Stegostoma tigrinum: one gene and its partner. The protein of the gene in region 1 interacts with the protein of each later gene in a biochemical or structural test. Links are inferred from orthologs where the notes say so. Each region holds a gene or a part of one and is shown on either strand. Other genes may lie near its edges.

Region 1 (8,209 bases):
ATCACACCTCTGCAGTACTGCCAGCTTGCTGCAACTTGGGAGGTATTGTCTTTTAAACAAAGCATCAAATGGAAACTTTCTGGTACAAGATGGTAGTAAAACATCACGTCACTACTTGCATTTGAAAATGAGATCTCTCTCCACTGTTCTGGAAAATACTTTTCCTTCAATGTCACTGAAACAAGTTATCTGGCCTTTACGTTGTCACATTTCTTTAACTACACAAAAAGGAACCTCTTTGCCACTTCTCACCATATACATGTATAAAATAAAATAACCTAAAAATATAAATATATACACAACAGAATCTATGGCATGGATTGTCAAATCAACGGTGCATAATTGAAACTAACATAATCAAGCGTCCAATGAAGGGCTAGGTACATGCATTTTGAACTCTACTCAAATTCAGTTAAAAGAACACAAACTTAAGCTACACTAATAGGAAAGTTCTCAGCCAAACATCCAGTCATCCTATACTGATTTCAAACAGGGTGACAGAAGGGTCTAGGCCCGAAGCGTCGGCTTTTGTGCTCCTGGGATGCTGCTTGGCCTGCTGTGTTCATCCAGCCTCACATTTTATTGTCTTGGAATCGCCAGCATCTGCAGTTCCCATTATCTCTGACAGAAATACACCAGTCTTAACACCTCATACCATGCCAACCCGCTGTGAGAGAATGAGGATGAGGAGGAGAGAGAGGGAGGTAAAACACAATTTTCAATTCAAAATATAGTCCAGCAAGCTCTATTCAAAATCATTCTTGTGGAAATATCAAATTTATTCAGCATTCATGGTCAAAGGTATCAATGTTCAAGACCATATCAAACCTGAACAAGAAGTTGTCAAAATGAAGAAAAATCACAGCAGGTTTTAATGGGACACAAGTTGTTAGTACCCTGGGAATGAATCCCTTAATAATACTAAAAAAAAGCTTTCAGATTCTAAATTATGCTTCTAATTGGCAAGTGTCAATGAATTATATTGCCACCTTTAATTTTAAGGTCTGCACACCACTTCTTTCAGAATCACAGCAATGATACAGGGCAGAAGGTGGCCATTCAGCTCATATCAAACTATCCTTTGGTAGTTAAATTTCTTTGAAAATACAAATACTAATGCAACAAGGATTTAAATGAAGTGGCTAGTCTTCCCAATGAAGACAAACGTGCCGACAACAAAAATACACAACTTACCTGCAATTCACACCAAGCTACTTCCACTGTAGTTTCTGTGTCTAGACCTTTATAGACGGTTTTGAAAGAACCTCTCCCAATTTCTATATCGAACTTCAAAAACCTCCCATCGGGGGAGGTTGCCACAGCCTTAGTCTCTATTTCTTCATTATCTTCTTGCGCCTTCCTCTCCTGATTTTTTGCCTCTTCCGCTTCTTTGCTCTCTGAACTATCATCATCGTTAGCTTTCAACTCGGTTTCCTCTTTAATTGGAACTGATTTTTGTTTTTTTCTGTCTTTGCTGCTACTGGTTGTAGTCCCTGCATGGTTGCAAACATCGGCATCGAGCGAACGAACAGCAGTTCTCGGTCGTTCATCGCCAATTCCAGCAACTGTGCTTCCATCCTTCGTATTGCCATCAACGCACTTTTCACATTTTTCTCCGGCAAAAACAGGAATTGCCGCAGTGACCGAGTCAACTGTCGTAGCTTGTACAGGAGGTTGCGCTTCGTTATTAATAGTAATACTGCTTATTAATGAAGCTGCATTATCCGATTCGGGTGGCGAAACGATAATACATGTCTTACTGGGCAGATGGTCCAACGCTGTAACGTTGGAATCACAGATCACACTTCTCCTGATAAAACGTTGGTGCTCTGCTTTGCTGTCCTTATCCATAGTATGTCGCCGCCTCCTAAGAGCCTTAAACTCTTCTTTTTTTCTCAAACTTACTCCAAAACGCTCCCCTATTGTCGTATCTGAACTCGAATTGGTACCATTTTTAGGGGGGCGCAACAAAGACCCAACATTGTCTGCGTTTTCCGACATTTCCACAAAAACTCAATTCCCAAAAGACTTCCCCAGAAGAATTCAGTGGTTTCTCTTCAAACAAGATTTCAACGCGAAGCACACTGCCGGTCAAATGGTTGAAATGCAATAAAAAGTACCAATTACGCGTAAAGACAAATGCAACCTGATTTTCTTTGAGAAGTCAAAATAATTCCCTGTTATGTTTGCGCAAACAGTCGGGTCCCTGGAACTGAAGCGTTCCGATATAAAAAATGAGATACGCAATATTGTCCAACTCAATCAGTTGCAACGCAGCGACATAAACATGGATCATCTGTTGTGATCCATCCATCCTTAATTAAAAATTTCGAACAATTTTCATCCAGTCTTCATTTCTCAAAAGGGCGATAAAGAAATTTAAAATGAAAATGAAAATCCAACCGATATAAACAAAGCCAAAACAGTTCCTTATTCCCGGATTAACTCCAAAAATAATATACTTTAAAACGGCCAGAACAAAAAAAGGGACAATCAACGCAACAATCCCTTTCAGCGATGCTGCTAGTTTCTGTTCCCTCACTAGAACAATTCCACGGTTATGGAAATGCGTCGGTTTATTTTAAGCACAGATAATATACAACGCCACGACTGCCCCGTCGATGCCATAAGGTTCTGCTCTTTCAAGCTTTCAAAATGGATGCGATGCCCATGGTTTTAAAGAAAAGTCACCAAAATTTAAATAGCCGACAGACGTGCAGGCTGCCAGATGGACTAGGCCGGGATGCTGCAACAATAGAAAACCCCAGGGTAAGGTCGATCTGCCGGGGGAGAGGCTCACTGCAGAGCTGTCCACATACGTAACATCCCGGCTTCTTCTCTTCCTCTTGTACTGGAATCGACTTTTCAAATAAAAAATACGCCCAGCCGGTTTCCTTAACGAACAAGTATCGTAGACCCAAGCCCGGGCCCCCCACACAGAACGGGGGAGGGGGGCAAAGAAGGTAAAACAGGCGAATCTCTCAGCTCGAAAATAGACACGTTCTTCCTCCCAACTGTAAATGGCGGATACACTGCCTCTAACTCACTTACTGGCACTTTCCGAGAAGCTGAGTGCTCGAGCTCAAGGCAACCCATTCACATGCGCAACACCACCGCACAGCCAATTGGGAAACGTAGTTTTTCCATTACAATTAGCAGTGTTGGCACATAGTTCGATTTGAAACACGCAAAAACGGAACTACAGTTCCCATCATGCTACGAGAACATTTCAGTTGGTTGGCGTTTATTTATTCCGCCCACTTTGCGTCTCTGTGGGAGCGTTGAGCTGAGCACGTGATATGGACAATAGGAGGACGGAAAAGGATGAGCTGTGGGTACCAGGGGAGGGGGCGAGGCTGGTTTTGGAAGCTTTGGTTATTGAAGGCGGAAAAGATTATATTTATTAAAATAGGCAATGATCTTCTCCAACTGCACATTCCTTCTGAAATGCACAGGTTTTAAATTCAATAAATCGTACATCGTTGCATGGTGGCGTGATAGATTCTCTCCTGGATGGTGATTCTCCAAATGAAATATAAGTGAAATAAAACCTTCGTAAGTAATTCCAGAACAAACATACATCTGAATTAACATACAGCGCACTGAGAGGGTTCAGAATCTAGAATGAGAAGCTGATTAAAAGCATTCTGGGTGCGTAAAATTCATCAAAATTAATTTCTGTTTCAATTTCTGTTTATTCAGGACCTGCTCGGCCTCGTTAAAACTACCGCACTGGATATTGCACCATCATAGTGAACAAAGTAAAATACATAGTTAAATCCTTCTGAAAACCTAATTTGCTCGTTCATTTTCGTTCGACTACGCTGCTTTCTTCGGTTAGCTTTAACTTTCAGCAGCAGAAATACACGACGATGGACGAGCTCTTGAATGCAAGCACGATGTTTGCAATGTAATTGTACGTGAAGACATTGCAGTAAGATCAAGAGAATTTTTTTTAAAAATCGACTAATTTGCTTTAATTGTAAACCTTCTAGTTAAGAGGATATATGAATGGCCTTTTACCAGGCCAATATTTTATAAGGAGAAATTGAAAATATGAGCAGGAGTAGGCTATTTGGCTTGAAGCCTACTCTACCATTCAATATGATCATGGCTGATCATCCAACTCAGCACCTTGTTCCTGCTTTCTCCCCATACCATTTTACCCCATTAACCCTAAGAACTATATTTTACTCCTTGAAAACGTTGCATGTGTTGGCCACAGCCACTTCTTGTGACATAGAATTCCACAGGTTCACTGCTGTCTGGGTGAGGAACTTTCTCCTCTTCTCAGTCCTAAATGACCAACCGTGTATATTTAGGCAGTGACCACTTGTTCTGGACTCTCCAGACATTGGAAATATTATTTTCTTTTATTCACTCGTGGGATGTGGGTCTTGCTGGCTGGCCAGCATTTATTGCCTATCTGAGTTGCCTTTGAGAATGTGATGGTGAGCTGCCACCTTGAACCACAGCTGTCCATGTGATATGGGATGGCCCATAATAGCCTTAGGGAGGGGCTACAAGGATTTTGAACCAGCAACATCAAAGGAACGACAATACATTTCCGATTCAGTGGTGAGTGGCTTGGAGGGGAAACTTGTAGGTGATGGTGTTGCTTTGTATCTGGTGCTCTTATCCTTCCAAATGAAGGTGGTTGTGGGTTTGGAAGATGCTGTCTAAGGATCTTTGATCAATTTCTGGAGTGCATCTTGTAGACAGTACCCACTGCTGCTACTGAATTTAAGTTGTGGAGGGAGCAGATGCTAGTGGATGTGATGCCAATCAAATGGGCTGCTTTGGCCTGAATGGTGTCAAGCTTTTTGAGTGTTGTTGGAACTGCACCTATCAGGCAAGTGGGGAATATTCCATCACACTCATTTCTTAAACCTTGTAGATGGTAGATAGGATTTAGGGAGTCATGAGCTGAATTATTCCCCGCACCTATAGCCCCTAACCTCTTGTGTTTATGTAATGAGCCCGGTTCTGTTTCCAATCAGTGGTTACCCCAAGGATGTTGATAAGGAGAAAGCGATTTGGTGATGGTAACACCATTGAATGTCAAGGGGTAGTTGTTTGATTATCTCTTATTGGAGAAAATCACTGTCTGGCATTTTCAAGGTGCAAATGTTACTTGCCATTTGTCAGCCCAAGTCTGGATATTGTCCAGATCTTGTTACATTTGTGCACGGACTGCTCCTGTATCTGAGGAGTCATAAATGGTGTTGAATATTGTGCAGTCATCTGTAAACATTCACGTTTCTGATCTCATGATGCAGGGAATGACATTGATGAAGCAGCCGAAGATGGTTGGGCCTAGTCTGAGAAATTCATGCAGAAATGGCCTGCAGATGGGATGACTGATCTCCAGCATCAACAGTCATCTTCCTGTGTGCGAAATGTGACTCCACCCAGCGGAGAGTTTGCCCTGTGATACCTATTGATCCCAGTTTTGCTAGGGCTCCTTAATGCCACAGTCATTCAAATGCAGCATACTTCTCAAGGGCTGTCACTCTCACCTCCACTCTGAAATTCAGTTCTTTGTCCGTATTTGAATGAAGGCTGTAATGAGGTCAGGATCTGAGTGGCCCTGGCAAAACCTAAACCAGGCATCACTGAGCAAGTTATTGCTGAACAGTGCTGCTTGATAGTTGGTGACACCTTCCATCTCCTTAATGATGATTGCGAATAGACAGACAGATTGGTAGTTGGCCAGTTTTTTTGTATAAGGCGTTATTGGACAATTTTCCACATTGTTAACTAGATGCCAGTGCAACTGTACTGAACCACTTGGCAAGGGGAGCAGTAAGTTGAGGAGCACAGGTCTTCAGTACTGTTGCTGGAATGTTGTCAGAGCCTTTGACTTCGCAATTTCCAATGCATACGACTGTTCCTTGATGTCGCAAGGAGTGAATTGACTTGACTGAAGGCTGATATCTACGATGTTGGGGGACAATTGAAAGAGGCTGAGACGGTTTATCCGCTCAGTACTTCTGGCTGAAGATTGCAGCGAATGCTTCAGCTTATCCTTTGCACTGTTTACTATGTCAAATCCTATTTGAATTTCATAGATTTAAATGAGATCTCCCTCCCCATCATTCTTCTAATCTCCAGTGAATATTGTCCTAACTGATCCATTCTCTGTTCATACTATCAGTCCTGCCATGCCAGGAATCAGTCTGGTGAACATTTGTTGTGCTGCCTCCGTAGCCAGAACATTCTTCCTCAGTTAAGAAAACCAAAACTGCACACCTACTTCTCAAGGTATAGTTTGCCAGTGTTCCATACAATTGCAGCAAGACATTCACGCTCCTGTTTTTAAACCCGCTTGTTGCAAAGGCTGACATACAAGTTGCCTTCTTTGACACCTGCTGCAGCTGCATGCTTACTTTAAGCAACTGGTGTACAGGTACACACAGGTTTTGATGCACCTTCCCCCTTTTTAAATATATTACCGTTTAGATAATAAACTGTCCTTTTTTTTGGTACCAAAGTGCAACCTCACATTTATCCACACAGTACTTCATCTACTTGCTCAATTTACCCAAATCGCGCTGATGCATTTCAGCATCCTTCTCATAGTTCAACACCTCTTACGGTTAGTTGCCTCATCTAAATATTTAATGTATATTGTAAATAGGTGGAGCCCAAGCACTGATCCCTGTGGTACCCCACTCGTCACCACCTGCAACTCAGAAAAGGTTTATTCCTATTCTTTGTTTCCTGTCTGTCAGCCAGTTCTCTATCCATGTCAATGCATTAGCCTCAATCCCACATGCTTTAATTTTACATGCTAATCTCTTATGGGGAACCTTATCGAAAACATTTTGAAAATCCAAGTAAACCACATCTACTGAATCCAACTTTATCAACTATACTAGTTACATCTTCAAAAAATATGAGTAGATATGATTTATCAAGCATGATTTCCCTTTCATAAATCTCAGCTAACTTTGTCTGATTCTGATACAATTTTCCAAGTTTTTTACCATTAAATTTTTTCCAGCATTATCTCTACTATTGATGTCAGGCTCACTGATCTATAATTCGCTACTTTATTCTTAGAAACCGTTCCAGACTAGAGCCAATAGAATCTTGAAAGGTGACCACCAATGCATCCATTATTTCTCGGACCACTTCCTTGAGTATTGTAGGATGTAGGTTATCAGCCACTGGGGATTTATTGGCCTTTAATCCTATCAATTTCCCCAAAACCATTTCCCTACCAAACCTAAGACAACAAAGTGTGGAGCTGGATGAACACAGCAGGCCTAGCAGCATTTTAGGAGCACAAAAGCTGACATTTCGGGCCTAGACCCTTCTTGAAGAGTCTAGGCCCGAAATGTCAGCTTTTTGTACTCCTAAGATGCTGCTTGGCTTGCTGTGTTCATCCAGCTCCACACTTTGTTATCTCGGATTCTCCAGCATCTGAAGTTCCCATTATCCCTACCAAAACTGATTTCTTTCAATTCATTCATCTCTCAATACCTTGTGATCCCCAACATTTTTGGAACACAATTTGTGTCATCCTTTGAAGCAAAACCAAAATATGTACTTAGATAACAAGGTGTAGAGTTGGATGAACACAGCAGGCCAAAACATCAGTTTTTCTGCTCCTCTGATGCTGTTTGGCCTGCTGTGTTCATGCAGGTACACCTTGTTATCTGATTCTCCAGCATCAGCAGTTCCTACTATCCCAAACTGTGTACTTACTTGGTCTGCCATGTCTTTATTCCCCATTATAACTTTCCCTGTTTCTAACTCTAAGGGACCTACATCTGTCTTCATGAAATACTTTCTCTTCACATATCAATAAAAGGTTTTACAAATAATTTGTATATTCCTTGCAAACTTACTCTTATACTCTATATTCCCCATCTTAATTAATCCCTTTGTCCTTCTTTGCTGAAATCTAACCTGCTCCTGATACTCAGGTCTGTTACTTTTTTGGCCAGTCTGTATGCCCCATCCTTAGATCTATCACTATTTTTAATTTTCCGTGTTAATCATGATTGGGCACCTTTTCCATTTTATTTTTGTGCAAAACTGGAATAAACAATTGTTGCAGTCCCTCCATTAGCTATTTAAATGTTTGGCATTGCATATCCATCATCATATTATGGTCATTTTTCCCAAACCATTTCAGACAGCCTGACTATGATTTATACCTTTCTCATTACCTCATACCCAGTCTGGGATGACCTGCTCT
Region 2 (7,785 bases), on another chromosome or scaffold:
TGGAATCCTTGCAAGAAGGACAGTCTTAAGGAGATGTATTGAAGGTAACTGTGGGAGTCGGTGGCCTTTTGCTTTTATCTAAAAAGAACCATTCTGGCTTCCACAATCAATCCTCATAACTGAAGTCTCTCATTCTCAGCACCATTCTTCTTATTTATTTTCTGCATTCTTTCCAATGTCTTTGGATCTTTCATGATGTCATGGCCAGAATCGAACACTACTTCAGTTAAGCCTGAACCAGTTTTCTGTAAAGGTTCAACACAACTTCCTTGTTTTTGTACTGTATACCAATAAATCTCAGGATTCTGGATGCTTTAACTGCTTTCAGAACCTTTGTCACCCTCAGTGATTTGTACATATATACTCCCAGTGTTTATGATTTTGCACCCACTTAAGAATCATGTGTTTTATTTGCCTTTTCTCATTCTGCCTCCATCATTTCACATTTCCTTGCATTAAATTGTAGTGCTTTGAATGGGCGCATTTCACTTTCTACAGCTTCTTGCTGTCCACCACAGTTCTGCTGGCTTTGGGTCATTTGTAACTTCTGTAATTGTGACCTGCGCTACACTATGTCAAGATAATTAATAGAGATTAAGAGTAGAACAAATACCGACCTCAGTCCGAGAAACAATTATTTGCTAACACTGTTGGTGAACCAACGTTGCATTCTTATTGTTATTGTCCCTTTTATTCTATGGGGTTTAACTTTGTGGACAACTCAAGAAACTTCATTCAGAGATTGTGCAATTTCCTGCTAGGTGCAATAGATGACGCAAGTAGATATATCGAGGGGGAGCTAGATACAAACACGAGGGTAGAAAGGATAAAGAGTATTGATGGGATGAAGTTAAGTAAAGGAGAGGGAAAGGTTTGTTTGGTTCTTAAAGTTCAAAATAAGAGTGATGGCTACATGCCTTGTGTCTATGCTGTAAAATTCTGTGATTGGCTTAACATGAAGGTGGCAATGGTCATGGATGTTTCCATTCATATCTGTAGTAACTTGGAAGTGAGTAGACAATGATTTTAAAATAAGAGACTTAGATAATGAAATGTTTTAGATATTGAAACAAAGCAAGGTGCTAAAGAAATCAGGGGAGAAACCAAATTTGAAGATCTCACTGTAGCTAAGGTAATATGATAAGGCACATGTAACCTGGAATGGGTGGGGCGGTAATTTTTCTGGCCTTAGTGATGAGCTTCACGGGTTCAGTGTTGGATCACTGTTTTAGTAGTCTTTGATCATCATTTACAAACTTGGCATCTGCATGCTTTTTTTTAAACAAATGGATAAACTTCTGAAAAATGTGTATTCTTGAACCAGTCTGTGATTCTCTTATCATTTTAGTGACATATGACACATTGTCAGTTATAAAATTTGTCAGTTTTGTTTGGGAATCTATTAACTTGTCTATGGACCTCCTGAAATCACTTTAGTTAACAATGCATCATTTTTCTGTATTGGCAGAAAATTTTGAAACTATGCCCTGCCACCTAATTCCAGGTCATTAAGATGTAAAAACCAAGAGAAAACTAATGTTTGCATCACTCCTATCGAGAAAGTTCCATTAACCATTATTTCCTTTTTTGTTACTTTGACCAACTTCCTATCCAAGTTGTATCATGCTGCTTAATATTATGTGCTTTAATTTCTTCTTCATTGTTGGGTCAAACTCCTTCATTTCCCCACAAAACAGCACTGCAAACAATCACCTGGACTGCAAAGATTCAAGGAGGCAGCTCATCATCACTTTCTCCAGGCAATTACAGATGGGTAATAAATACTGGTCTTGGCAGTGATACCAGTGTCTGATGAAAACAGTTTTTTAAAAAAATCATTAAATCAGCAATGAAATTCTTTCTGGAAGTTCAAATATGCAATTTAATCTTGTCACACATGAATGTTTGAACTTCAGAGCTGGAATTGACATAAATTCTGGTAGAAGTGGATCACAAAATATGTTGAAAATGTAACTTTTCTTTTCAATTGTTTGTCATTCTTCGGTGCAAATAAACTCCCCCTCCCTGCAAGGGCCAGCAAAGTGTTACCAAGGAAATCCTTGAGGACGTGGGTCTTATTCATAGAAAATATGAAACTGCATGTCTTCCTTTTTTATATAAATAATGATTATGCTAAACCTGGAAAAAAGTAGTTGCTTGAAATCCTGTTTCACTGTACTTCTTCCAGGGTCAATAACTGATCATGCTGGTTATGGTTCCATGGCTACTGTTTTTGCGTCTAAGCTGTTATTCTTTATGTATGAGGGGAATCAGTGAATGTTGACTGTTAGTTAAATATGATCTTATTTTAATCTTATGTCTGCTGTACTTTCTAGCAGGACTGGATTATGATCAAAAGCAAGCATTTTAAAATCATAATGTAAATTGGTTAAATTCATAGGCTGCTGTCTTTGAGAAGAGCACCTTAACTTGGTAATGATGTTCAAAATCATGAATTGCTAAACAAAGAGAAACTCTTCAATGCCAAAATAGATGATGATCAAAGGACATAGATTTAAGAAGATTTTTGATCTGGAAAATACTACCTGAAACATTGGTGGAAACAGTTTGAATAGTCACAGTTGAGGAATGGATAAATACTAGAGGAAAGTATTAGAGGAAAATGACTGATTGGATGACTCTTCTAAAGATCCATCCCAGGCATAGCGGGTCAAGCTGTCACCTTATGTGCTGTACGATTCCACGATAAGGTTTTGGAGTAGATTTGTAGCTGGGATTGTGGGTGTTGAGGTTGGTTGGCTTACCAAGCTGGTTTCTTATTTTGCAGATGTTTTGTTACCATGCTGGGTAACATCCTGAGTGCAGCCTCCGACGAAGCGTTGGTGTGTTTTCCCGCCTGGCATTTAAACTCCCGGGTCCGTTGAGATGGAATGTCTCACTTCCAGTTTTCCTTCGCAGTGGAATGTATATGGCGTCAAGCTCAATATGTTTATTAATTGCATGCTTCGTAGAGTGCCAGGTTTCTAGGAATTCTCATGCCTGTCTCTGCCTGGCTTGTCCAGGATTTTGGTGTTGTCCCAGTCGAAATGGTGGTTCTCCTTGTCCATGTGGATTGAGATGAGTGAGGACTGGTCGTGTCTTTTTGTAGCCAGTTGTACTCTTGTTAGCTTCCTTCCTGTTTGCCCGATGTAACGTTTCTCACAGTCACTGCAGGTAGTTGACATTTGCTCCTGTCCATGGCGGGAAGTTGTTCTTTAGTTCAGGTGAGCAGTTGTCGTAGGACTGATGTGGGCTTGTGTGCCACTCTGATGCTCAGTGGTCGTAGGAGTCACCACAAGACTCTTAAACTCCTTAAACTCACTTCTGGTCATGTTCATCTTCGATCACTGAGACAGAATGAAAATACTGCAAGAAGCAGAGATGACCTGTTCCAGAATATTGCAAGAGCTTTTTAAATAAAAATCAGAAATTTCCAGTTTGAAAAGATAAGAATGAAACGGGACTTGATAGAGGAATTAAAGATGCTTAATTTCTTTTTCTGGTCAATTAACTCCAGAGTACTGGGTTAGGTTTAACCATAAGCATGAAAAAAAACGTTTGAGGCACGATACAGGAAGTAATTATCACACAAATAATAAATATCTGGAAAGGCTTCTCAGTTAGGGCCTGGAGCATAAACTCTGTAATCATTCAACAAATATTGTGGTTAGGAAGGCATATGGGATACCTGCCTGTATCAGTCATGGCATTGATTATAAGGGAAGTCATTTTCGAGCCATGTAAAACATTGTTTAGGCCGTAACGCGGCTGCTGGAAAGTGCGATATGACAAAGTGTGGAGCTGGATGAACACAGCAGGCCAAGCAACATCTTAGGAGCACAAGATGCTGCTTGGCCTGCTGCGTTCATCCAGCTCCACACTTGCAAACGCTGAAGAATCCGACATAACAGTTCCCGTTATCTCTGCTGGAAAGTGCGACCAGAGCAGGTAATAGTGTATTTTTGGTGGTACAGACTGACATTATTATTTGTGGCCTTTTGTTCATTGTTCCTGTTTGCAGTTTGCACCTTTTTAACACTGCTTAATCTCTTTTTCCCTCGATTGTGTTCCCTAATCTGGAAATAATGTGCAAGATCTGTAAATGCTAGTTGCAAAACTCCGTATAATCTTCTAGTTCTACTTAGTAGAATCTTCTCTATGACGCTTTGACACTGCCAAACATCACTGGGAGTGTAGCCAAAATTCCTGCTATACTGAATCCTCAAGGCACAGGCTGGCGATTACGGACTGAACGGGAGAAAGGTAGATTGCTGTTGTTTATAAGCGAGTTTGGGCAGTGACCTGGAAATAAACAAAAATTCTCATGAATTAAAAGCAGAAATTGCTTCAAATGGCAGCAGTTCTTTGTATCTGTGGAGAGAGAAACAGTTCACCGACCACTTTAAAGCAGATTACTCAGGAAAAATAAAACTCTGGGAATGACTGGATATGTGAGATCATTCTTCCAAACCTCAAAAACATCACAAAATGTAGAGAGGAAGGGGTGGAATTTAAGAATTCCCACAGAAGGTCAACTCTCCCAAAACTGTTCCTAGAGGCACAGTTATATTTTATTGATTGAATACACGCCACCCTGTACCTCCTTCCCTAGCCAAGAGCAACTCAATTTACATCAGCAAATATTTATTTGTTAGTTGAACGTTGCACTTCTTTGATTGGTTTGTTGACCTCAGTCTGCTGACATTGGCCAACTCTTATTTTCCCCTCTTGCTTACAACGTGAGAGTTTCTGGTGAGAAACAGCAGCAAGTCGTCCGAAAACAAAACTTTCGGAGAGGCAGATTTGTTCGGGTAGCGAAAGGAGGGTAAAACACAACGCGCAGCAAATCCTTTCCCCGCTGTACAGTGAGCTGTATGAATCCCTGCAACACGGCGAGAAATGCTGCGGAATCTCGCAGCGGTGGTACCGCTACCGGTGGAGGTGGACGGTGCCCAGGAGCCAGGTGAGTCTCTCGCCGCCGCTGCCAGGCAACCGGCCAACACTGTGGAGTCAGGCGCTGCGGCGGGGAGCTAAGGGCAGGGTCCTGAGAGAGCGCGAGCCGCTGCTATGGCGCCGAGCTGAGGCCCTCAGTCCGAGCTCCGTGAGCAGGGCCGGGTTGGACGAGACTAGCCCTTCATCCCGGCCGGCTACTTGGAGCCGGGCCCAAGGGAATGCGGCCGTCGAACACCAACACTCCACACTATGGAGGATGAAGGGTAGGTTGGGAGCGACCCTTTTCACCTGCCTCCCTGATACTCGCTCTCCGTCTGAACAAGTTGTTCCCTCATCCCCGTCCTGTCCCGCTCTATGGGTGGGCTGCTTTCCTGATCCCTGCCTCAAAACCGTGACTGTCACTAAGCTCTTTTTAAAACACGCGTGCAGTTTATCTGCTTAATGTGTGTGAATATGTAAACCAACTTTATTTCTTAACTTGAGAATCACTTGATTGCATCCTGTTCTGCAGATATATCCGGTGCACATTTCTGATTCTGACAGGTTTCTCGATCATGACTGTGTATTTTAAAGCGCTTCGCGATTCTGGATATAAAAAAAACAAATTCCAAAATTTTGTCATTTCCTTGGTACTGCGGTGCATTTTGTAAGTTTTCGGAGTAATTCATGCTATGGAGGTGCCGGTGTTGGACTAATGCATATGTTTGCGAAATGCGGGAAGCTGCCCTATAGATCTGAATCATTACCATGAAATATCAGATGTGCTAATTTGAGGTTCAGACAATGCCAGTACTGTCCACTACACATCATATATAAAACAGTACTAGTACTAACAGCACTTCGTATCTCAATATTCTTGTAGATTGAATAGTATCAGTCAAAAACTTCACAGCAACAATTTTCCAGGCCTGATGGTAATGGTGTTTATTGGATGCGGTCAACATTTAAGCTATAACTTTGTTGCCTTCCTCTTAATTATTGCCTAGAAAGGTGTAAGTAAGTGCAAGTTAGCCTAGCTACCCAAAAGACTTTAACTACTCACTGCAAACTGAGGCTGAGGAATTCAGGGTTTACATTATAAATAGCAAAAACAGAAGTTGCTGGAGAATCTCTGCAGGTCTGGAAGCATCTGTGGAGAGAAAGTCCAGTGACCCTTCTTAAGGACTCCTTATAGCTAGGAAGAAGTGGTATACATGCAGAGATCCTGACTAATATTTGGTTTGATCACACTCTTGTGAAATATCTTGGGAAGTTTTCTACAGCATGGAAACAGATCCTTCAGTTCAACTCATTGAAATATCTTGAACTGAACTAGCCCTGTTTGCCAGTATTTGGCCCATATTCCCCTAAACCTTTCCTATTCATGTACCCATCCTTTTAAATGTTGTAATTGTACCCACTTCCACCACCTCCTGTGGCAGTTCATTCCATACATACACCAGCCTCTGCATTTAAAAAAAGGCTTTTCTGAGGTCCCTTTTTAAATCTTTCCCCTCTAGCTTTAACCCTAAGCCCTCTAGTTTTGGACTCCCCTACTCTGGGGAAAAAAATCTTGGCTCTTCAGCCTATCCATGCCCCTCATAATTTTGTAAACCTTAAGTAAAGACCCCCTCAGCCTCAGATACTCCAGGGAAAAATATTTAACCTATTCAGCCTCTCCCTGTATCTCAAATACTCTAATCCTGGAAACATTCTTGTAAGTCGTTTCTGACACCTTTCAAGTTTTAACAACGTATTTTGTAGATCAACAGTATTCCAAAAGTGGCTTCACCAATGTCATGTACACTGATAACATGATGTCTCAACTTCTGTACTCAATGCAGTGACCGATGAAGACAAATCTGCCAAATGCCGTCATCACCACCTAGTCTGCATAGTCATACAGCATGGAAACTAGACCCTTCATTCCAACCAGTTCATGCTGACCGTAATCCCAAACTAAACTGGTCCCACCTGCATACACCTGGCTCATTTCCCTCCAAATCTGCCCTATTCAGATATCCATCCAAATGTCTTTTCAGCATTCTAATTGTATCCATTTCCACCAGTTCATCAGGAAGTTCATTCCACAAGCAAACCGTCCTCTGTAAAAACAATTTGCCTTGTGTTTTTTAAATCTCCTCCTCTCTCCTTTAAAAATGTGCCTCCTAGTCTTGAAATTCCCTATCTTAGAATTTAAATGCAAGATATTTCCCTCGCACTACCTTTAAAGGGTTCCTTTAAAGTGGTCATTCATTTTGTGGAATCAGAGTGGTTACAGTGCAGAAGGAGGTTATTTGACCTTGAGTCTGTCAGGTCTCAGCCAGAACAGAGCAGTTTATTCCTTCAATGTGGCTTATAGTCTAGCTCATATTAATGTTGTGTGTGGTGCTGCTATATTGTGTGATTGCACTGGTATAAACCAATTTCATTGATTCCTTTTCAGGATGGATTTTTTGTTATTATTATTATTGTTTGTGGTTCCTAAACTGTCAGAAACTTCTAAGTAACTTTCCCATGTAACCATTATTTATTTGTAAATCTTAAGTAATAGATGAAACTTTTTTAGTCCTCTAACACAATCCTATCTTGTCAGCACCCAGCATCTATAGGCACTCATGTGTTGTGTAGACGGTGATCAGGAATGAGAGCCCAGGTATTTTTGTTCCTGTTCCTTATGCAGTGATCCAGGGCACTGTACCAATTTTCCCTTCAGCTAGGATCTTGAGTCAGGAAAAGCCACAAATTGATTTTTTTTTTATGGTCTCATGCTTCATTTTGTCTTTTCTTTGAGCAGTTATGAGCATTGCCAAAGGTTTAGAACACCCTAATCACAGGAAAGATATTATTATT

The links.
Region 2: of the proteins of wnk1b (region 1) and kelch-like protein 3, one has a biochemical effect on the other in vitro, tested with the Homo sapiens proteins (2 studies listed by BioGRID). The link is inferred for Stegostoma tigrinum from reciprocal best matches to the Homo sapiens genes WNK1 and KLHL3.

Annotation. Positions count from the first base shown.
Region 1 is NC_081371.1:20,509,903-20,518,111, reverse strand, and holds the start of wnk1b (serine/threonine-protein kinase WNK1), read right to left. Parts: upstream 3,076-8,209; 5' UTR 2,002-3,075; coding exon 1,195-2,001; intron 1-1,194. UniProt on the Homo sapiens protein: Serine/threonine-protein kinase component of the WNK1-SPAK/OSR1 kinase cascade, which acts as a key regulator of blood pressure and regulatory volume increase by promoting ion influx.
Region 2 is NC_081366.1:35,887,958-35,895,742, reverse strand, and holds the start of kelch-like protein 3, read left to right. Parts: upstream 1-4,745; 5' UTR 4,746-4,874; coding exon 4,875-4,963; intron 4,964-5,056; exon of another isoform or gene 5,057-5,202; coding exon of another isoform or gene 5,203-5,216; intron 5,217-7,785. UniProt on the Homo sapiens protein: Substrate-specific adapter of a BCR (BTB-CUL3-RBX1) E3 ubiquitin ligase complex that acts as a regulator of ion transport in the distal nephron.